Linked DNA regions of Rattus norvegicus. Each later gene encodes a partner of the first gene's protein in a complex. Links are inferred from orthologs where the notes say so. Each region holds a gene or a part of one and is shown on either strand. Other genes may lie near its edges.

Region 1 (3,810 bases):
TATGCTTGCAGGGAGGGAGCAGAAGTATCTGGGTTCCTCAAGCTCTGGGCATTTGTCTTTAGGACAGCTACCACCACCACTTGTGTTACCATCCGTCTGTCCTCTTCTCTCCAATTATTTTATGTGAACACTAGACCTGGAAACCAGGCTTCAGCCCAAGATCTGGGCCTCCCTCAGGAAAGGATCCAAAAATGGGGGTCTTTGCTCTGGGTGTCTTTCACTTCACATGGGCAAGATGTGGTATTGACTAAAGAAATGCCTATGTAGGCACCTGGACCTTGCCAAACATTCCAGCAGTTCAGTCCAGCAGGCACAAGCGAAGGAAACCCACAATCTCCAAATAGCTCCTTTCTGTGGAGGGAAAGGTGTAGGGTTCACAGAATAAAGGGTTTGTAGCTGCTGTGGTGGTTCTTGATGCTCAAAGGTCACACCAAGGGCCTTTGAGGAGTTCAAGGGCTAGTGTCCCCTCAGAAAATGCATTGACATTCTCTCATGGAGAGAAATACTGCTCTGCCGGGAGCCCTGTCTTGGGGTGTCTGTCAAGGATTTCAGAGGTGAGTAGAGGGCAGAGCAGAGGGAGCTCTACTACAGAGCTACATTTCCAGTCCCTTCTTTACTTGCCTTTCGAGACTGAGTCTCTGTGTCACATCTCTGAGGGGAAAGGTGTCCTGGAAGTCTGGTGCCAAGGAATAGCACAAAGTCACACCACACAACAAGCCTCATTCAAGAGATTTATTGGGAAAGACAGAAGGCAGCTACCTCGTTTTGGGCCAGAAGTAGCCAAGAACCGTGAGAGGCAATCTTGTATAGGATTTCTTGGGAGGGTGGGGTGGTGGACCAAGTTTTCCAGGGTGGGGATTGGTGGGATTTCAAATCCTGAGCTAGGGACAAGCTCAGGGATTGGTGAGTTTTCAGCGGCAGGAGGACATGCTCCCTGTTGCAGGAGAGGCTCCTTCAAGCAGGGGCCTGAGACTCAGCCTTAGGACCGGTGCTGTATCTGAGCCCCAAACCAAGTTTGTTTGGTTCACTTTTCTTTTTCTTTTTTTTATTGTCACTTTTATTTTTATTTTTGGTTATTTGGTGGTGTTTGAGATCAAATTCAGAATGTTGGCCATGCTAGGCAAGCCCTCTTCCATTGAAAACTATCCCTGACCCTCCAAAACAGGCTTAATACCTTTTCAGATTTACCTCATGTATGAGGTTTTGCCTGCGTGTATGTATGTGTAACCACACATGTGTCAGATCTGCTAGAATTGCAGTTATGAATGGTTATGAACCACCGTACCGGTGCTGGGAATCAAACTCAGGTCCTCTGCAAGAGCAACAAGTGCTCTTAACCTCTGAGCAGCTCTCCAGTCCCAGGTTTTAAAATTTTACCTTAACTCTTACTTAAGTAAATCCAGTTTGTTGCTGTTTGAGACAGAGCCTTATTGTGTATGCCAGGCTTCCCTGAAATTCATGTGTAGGCCTTGCTGGTCTTGAACTCGCAGTGATCTTCCTGCTTTAGCCGCCTAAGTATACTGAGATTATAGTCAAGAGCCATCTCCCCCAACCCCTTCTTCTTCTGAAGGCTAGTCTTGAACTCCTGGCACTCCTGCCTCCACCTCTCCACTGCTGGAATTACAGGTGTGTGTGCATTACACAGCTGGCTGGCTTCTGGTCTGTTATAGTTGTGCTTTGTGTACGTGCTCATACTGTGTGCTTTTACAGATGTCACTCATGAGGCCTTTCTCATGAAAGCCCTCAGGCTCAGCCCCACACTCCTCTCAGTCCACAGTATCTGTATCTCACTTTGCCTTGCTTTAGGCTGCGTGCCTTGGAACATGAGGAAGCACTGCCCAGCCATCACACATATGTCTGCTGTTTCCTGAGGCAGTGATTGGAAGAGTACAGGCTCTGTGAGATACGTAGCCATGACCTACCAAATCCCGAACTGTGTTTTTCCAACCTGTGGCCGGCCGGGTGAATGATCTGTAAGGGTGCTACAGCGTCTTGCAGCCACTGTGCTGCCAGCTACACAGTGGCAGCAGCTCTAAAACAACGCTCTCTCCTCTCTTGCAGGGCCCCCGGCATGGTGCTCAAGGCCTTCTTCCCCACATGCTGTGCCTCAGCAGACAGTGGCCTATTGGTGGGACGGTGGGTCCCAGGACAGAATAGTGCTGTGATCCTGGCTGTGGTGCACTTTCCCTTCATCCCCATCCAAGTCAAGGAGCTCCTGGCCCAGGTGCAGAAGGCTAGCCAAGTACAAGTGACTGTGCTAGGCACCTGGTGCCACCGTCAGCAGGAACCAGAGGAGAGCCTGGGGAAATTCCTAGAGGGCCTGGGTGCCATCTTCTCCCATAATCCCTGGTTGCAGCTATGCCGGGAGAAGGGCACCAGATTCTGGAGCTGCAAGGCCACTTACCATCAGATGTCTAGCACTCTGGACACACCCACTGAAGACCAGGTCATGCTCATTTTCTATGACCAGCGCAAGCTGCTGCTCTCCTGGCTGCATCCACCTCCGGTACTACCTGACTGCCAGATTGGAGACAGCACAGCCAGCACTGGAGGCCTAGCTGACATCTTTGACACAGTGGCACGCAGTGAGGTTCTCTTCCGAAATGACCAGTTTGATGAGGGACCTGTGCGCCTGAGCCACTGGCAATCAGAGGGAGTGGAGGCCAGTATACTTGTGGAGCTGGCAAAGCGGGCCTCTGGGCCTGTCTGCCTGCTGCTGGCTTCTCTGCTGTCCCTGATCTCAGCAGCCAGTGCTTGTCGGTAAGTGCCTCAGACAGGAAAGGTAGAATAAGAAACTGGTCCCTCGAGAACCACAGGCTCTCCCTTCAGTGTGCAGTGGCATCGATAGCCAGAGGGTCCCTCCTGAGGCTGGTGTTCCTGGGACCCAGTTCTCGTCTTCCCTTCCCTCCCTTTGCATGGTAGAGCATATCGTAGTAAAGGCTGCTGTTCCTGGAGACCGACTGTGTGAGGCCCACCTAGTTGGGTGTAGAATGAATCGCAGACAGTGCAAGCACCAAAGAGAGAACTCTGATGAGCACAAGCCTAGGTTATTGCACTCCTAAAATAATTATATGTAGCTGGACAGTGGAGATGCACACCTTTAACCCCAGCCCTCGGGAGGCAGAGGCAGGGGGATCTCTGTGAACTCAAGGCCAGCCTGGTCCACAAATCAAGTCCAGGACAGCCAGGGATATTATACAGAGAAACCCTGTCTCAAAAAAAAACTACGTATGTATGAATGTTTGTCTGCATTTATGTATCCTGTGCATCCCCAGTCAGAGAGAGGGTCATGTGGGTGCTAGGAATTAAACCTTGTCTTCTGCTTATCTCACTAATTTTTGTGTTTGGGACAGGGTCTCAGCTATATAGTCTTGGCTGGCCTGGAACTCGCTATGTGGACCAGGCTGGCCTCAAGTTCTGCCTGTGAGAGTGCAATACCTGCCTTGCCTGCAGTGACCTGTGAGGACACAGAACTGCCCACTCCCCTGCTTTTCTGTTTTCCCCACAGCTGGCTTCAGGGGCAGTTCCTCTCCAGGCCAGCCAGTTGTCTGGGGTGGTGGTACTCACCCATGATCTCTAGAATCATGGGTTGCTGGCCTGGTGAGCAGTTTGGAAAAGTCCCCAAGTCCTTGGAATGCTGGGTAACCCTAGGTTCTTTTAGTTTAGCTTGTGAATGAAGAATGAGGGCCTGGAGGCCCTTTTCTCTCAGAGATGATGTTCGTTCTCTCCTCTCTCTCTCTCTCTCTCTCTCTCTCTCTCTCTCTCTCTCTCTCCCTCCCTCCCTCCCTCCCTACCTACCTATCTACCTGT
Region 2 (3,646 bases), on another chromosome or scaffold:
TACATGCGTGGAGGTCAGAGGACAATGCGAGAAGAAAATAGGTTCTCCACCGTGGGGGTGGGGGTCCCCGAGGATCGAACTCAGTTACTAAGGCTTGGCAGGAAACGCCCGTACTCGCTGAGCCCTCTCATCGGCCCAAACTACTATTTTGACATTCACCAATTCAAACGTAAAACGACGGATCGGACTCGTTCCCCGCTGCTTCAGAGGCTGGGTGATGGTGGCTGCGACCAAGTTTGATTCAGGCTTCAAGTTTATCAGTTAGAAATGGGGAAAGCTTTTCAGCGCAGAAAGACACCGGTCTGCTCTGGAACGCCGTGAACACACTCTGCGGCAAATACGTTCCTCTCCAAGGTCCAGCAGTCCTGGCACACAGGACGCCCAGCCGGAGGCCGTGGGGTCCGGGGCAGGGAGGTCCTTATCAATCAGGGTCCTCTCAGCACCCCTCTGGCTTCACCCGTCACTCAAGACTACGGGGGCGGAGCCTGAGCGCCGGAGCGAAGGCGTGGTGCGCTGTCCAATGAGCACGCGCGGATCGGCTCCCTCGCGGGATCTGGGTTTCTTACCCCGCCCCCTCAGGGATTTGATTGGGCGGCTGGCCCGGGTGCTCCGCCTTCGTAGAGCGGTGACGGTCACAGCCAGGCGCAGCCGGGACCCGGACATTTACAGGCCAGTGAATGGTGAGTTCAGGGTCTCGAGATCCGATACGGGCGGAGGAGCTGTTGGAACCGGCTGGGACAGGACTCGCGCTAGCAAGGCGTCTGCGCCACGGACGCCTCCGGTTCCGCTTGGCTGGCTGGTTCACTTTCGATTCGGCCGGGTTCTCCTCTGCCCTGTTCGGCTTGGTCCGGTTCTCTCCGGCTTGGCTCGGTTCTCTCCGGCTTGGCTCGGTTCTCTCCGACCCGGCCATCGCTACCCTCGGTCAGCCAGAGACTGCAGCGGGACCCGGGTGCCCCTTCGCGTCCCCGAGGCGACTGGGCCCAGGGCTGGCGCTGTCTTCACTCTGTGCATTGACGACGGGCGGCTCGTGACGAGGCTCCGGGTTCCGGTGCTGGTCCCCAGCCGGTCCTCGTCGTACGGGAAGCCTCCACTCAGGTGTCTGAAGTGAATCTGGATTTGTAGGTCTCATTCCGCTTCCTCGGTTCGAGAAAACACTATCAGTCCACCTGTCCTTCATTCTGCTTTTCGAATTTCTTAGTTCCCAAAGAAATGGATGACACTTGAGTGTTTTGAAGGTTTGTTTTCTAGTCGGGCGTGGTGGCTTGGGAAGACTGATGCAAGAGGATCCCAATGTTTGAGGCCAGACTGCAAGTGACAGCAATCCTCCTGCCTTTAACCTGCTCAGTACTGTACAGGCTGTTTCCCCTTCTTTTCCTTTCCCTTCCCCTCATCTTGTCATCTTGCACTTTTCTCATACAGTAAGGAATCCTTTAGCCAGCGCTGCGAGGGACACGTGTGTTGTCTGCAGTCGCTGGTAACCGCTTCGTGTGGTGGTGGATTGGATCAGAACGAGGCTGAGGAGCCGTCACCCTCAGCCTGGGACCGCTGAAGTTTTTGTGTGCTCTTGGGAAGCATGCCTGGATGAAAGAGGAGTCCAGAGAAAGGGAAGATAAGACAGGAGTGCACCAGCACAAGAACATAACTTTGAAAACAACCGAGTTTTCTTGAACTGTATACCTTCAGAAGGGAGGAGGATGATCCTGTCTCTGCCCACCCTGACTGTCCTCATCCCGCTCATCTCCCTGGCGGGCCTGTTCTACTCCGCCTCTGTGGAAGAAAACTTCCCAGAGGGCTGTACCAGCGCCAGCAGCCTGTGCTTCTACAGTTTGCTTCTGCCGGTCACCGTACCGGTGTACGTGTTCTTCCACCTGTGGACTTGGATGGGCCTGAAGCTCTTCAGACATAACTAGGGTAGCTGAGGCCCCGCTTGTGCACGGGGCAAGAGGCTCCTGGTTGTTGGGTTCTGCCCTCAGGTGTTGCAGATTCTCCTGTTAGTGCTGTAGCTGAAAAACACTTACAATAAATATGTCCCAAGGGAGAGGAACATGACCGGTCTTCATCCGAAGACTGTTTTTTCTAAGATTTATTCTTAATTATGTGGATATGAGTGTGGGTCCCCAAAGAGGCCACACGAGGGTTGGAGGTACGAGCAACTGTAAGACTGCCGGAGCTTTACTCAGATCCTCTGCAAGGGCAAGCAAGTTCATGTCCTTAACCCCTGAGCATCTCTCCACCTGCCTGTTTCCTCCCTTCCCTTAGTTCTGGCTAACCTCAAACTGTGAGAGGCAGACCTTGACCTCCTTACCTTCCTGTCTCTACCTCCTGAGTGCTGAAGTTATAGGCAAGCATTGCCGCATGTGTTTATGTGGTCTGGCAGAACCCAGGTCGTGAACGCTAAGTCGGCACTCTGCCAGCCAACCACCCTGAGGACTGTGTTGTTGTTGTTGTTGTTTTGAGTCCATTCATTTAAAAGTCCGTCATTTGGAAGCCGAGCAGTGGTGGCACTCACCTTTACTCCCAGCACTCGGGAGACAGAGGTGGATCTCTTGAGTTTGGGCCAGCACAACGAGACTGTAAAAATAATAATTTGGGATTTTGTTTCAGCTTCAAGGTCAGTGGTGAGGTGTTGGATCTGCTGAGACAAGGGTTTCAGATGGTTGGGAACTACTGTGTGGGTGCTGAAGAAAATCCAGTGCTCAGGGATGACTCCTTTGAGGAGCTGAGTGGTCCGTAGGTTGGTGGCTCACAACTGCCTGTATTTCCAGTTCCAGAGGCTCTGACTCCCTCTGCTGGACTCTGGGTACCTGCACACCTGTGACATGTCTATTCATTCACACACATTAATAAATTTATTTTTAAGAGGGAAAAAAATCTGACTATAAACTTACCTTCATTGTTTTTTCTTTTACATTTATTTTTTTTCTTTTCTTTTTTTTCAGAGCTGGGGACCGAACCCAGGGCCTTGCACTTGCTAGGCAAGCGCTCTACCACTGAGCTAAATCCCCAACCCCTCTTTTACATTTATTTATATGAGTACACTCTAGCTGTCTTCAGACACACCAGAAGAGGGCATTGGGTCCCATTACAGATGGTTGTGAGCCACCATGTGGTTGCTGGGAATTGAACTCAGGACCTCTGGAAGAGCAGCCAGTGCTCTTAACCACTGAGCCATCTCTCCAGCCCCTACCATCATTTTTTCAGTGTCAGGTGAGCAAGGTCAGTGTTGGTGTTTTCTGGTTCTTGGATTCTTATTCAAGGAATAAAGGCCCATATACAGATTTTCAAAGTTGCAAGGAAATTTCACTCAAAGCAGAGCTAGATCAGGCATGCAGATACATGAGCCTATGGGGGCTCTTCTTACTCAACCACGACACCTGTTCTCCCAGCCTAAATTCCTCTGACTCCTTATGACTCCCTGTACCTCTAAGTTCAGAGGCTCTGCCTCCAAAAGCACTGTACTCAGGTTTTTAACACACACCCCTAAAAATAAACACAAAGTTTTCAAAAAAGAGAACATGTTTTCTTTGGCTGAAAGCCGTCCATCCTTGCTTGAAGGTAAGCCAGAGATGGGTGTGACCATTGCCAGTTCTTGATGCCTGCATTGGACAGAGTCTGGAAATCCTTGAGTACATTGGGCCCTGTGGCC

The links.
Region 2: Pigq (region 1) and Pigy share a complex: the UniProt entries of both Homo sapiens proteins name them as parts of the glycosylphosphatidylinositol-N-acetylglucosaminyltransferase (GPI-GnT) complex. The link is inferred for Rattus norvegicus from reciprocal best matches to the Homo sapiens genes PIGQ and PIGY.

What each region holds. Positions count from the first base shown.
Region 1 is NC_086028.1:15,456,322-15,460,131, reverse strand, and holds part of Pigq (phosphatidylinositol N-acetylglucosaminyltransferase subunit Q), read left to right. Parts: intron 1-2,061; 5' UTR 2,062-2,071; coding exon 2,072-2,760; intron 2,761-3,810. UniProt on the Homo sapiens protein: Part of the glycosylphosphatidylinositol-N-acetylglucosaminyltransferase (GPI-GnT) complex that catalyzes the transfer of N-acetylglucosamine from UDP-N-acetylglucosamine to phosphatidylinositol and participates in the first step of GPI biosynthesis.
Region 2 is NC_086026.1:28,965,006-28,968,651, forward strand, and holds Pigy (phosphatidylinositol N-acetylglucosaminyltransferase subunit Y), read left to right. Parts: upstream 1-1,419; 5' UTR 1,420-1,694; coding exon 1,695-1,910; 3' UTR 1,911-2,871; downstream 2,872-3,646. Other genes in the region: uncharacterized protein Pigyl1, read left to right, coding at 25-234, 470-1,108. UniProt on the Homo sapiens protein: Part of the glycosylphosphatidylinositol-N-acetylglucosaminyltransferase (GPI-GnT) complex that catalyzes the transfer of N-acetylglucosamine from UDP-N-acetylglucosamine to phosphatidylinositol and participates in the first step of GPI biosynthesis.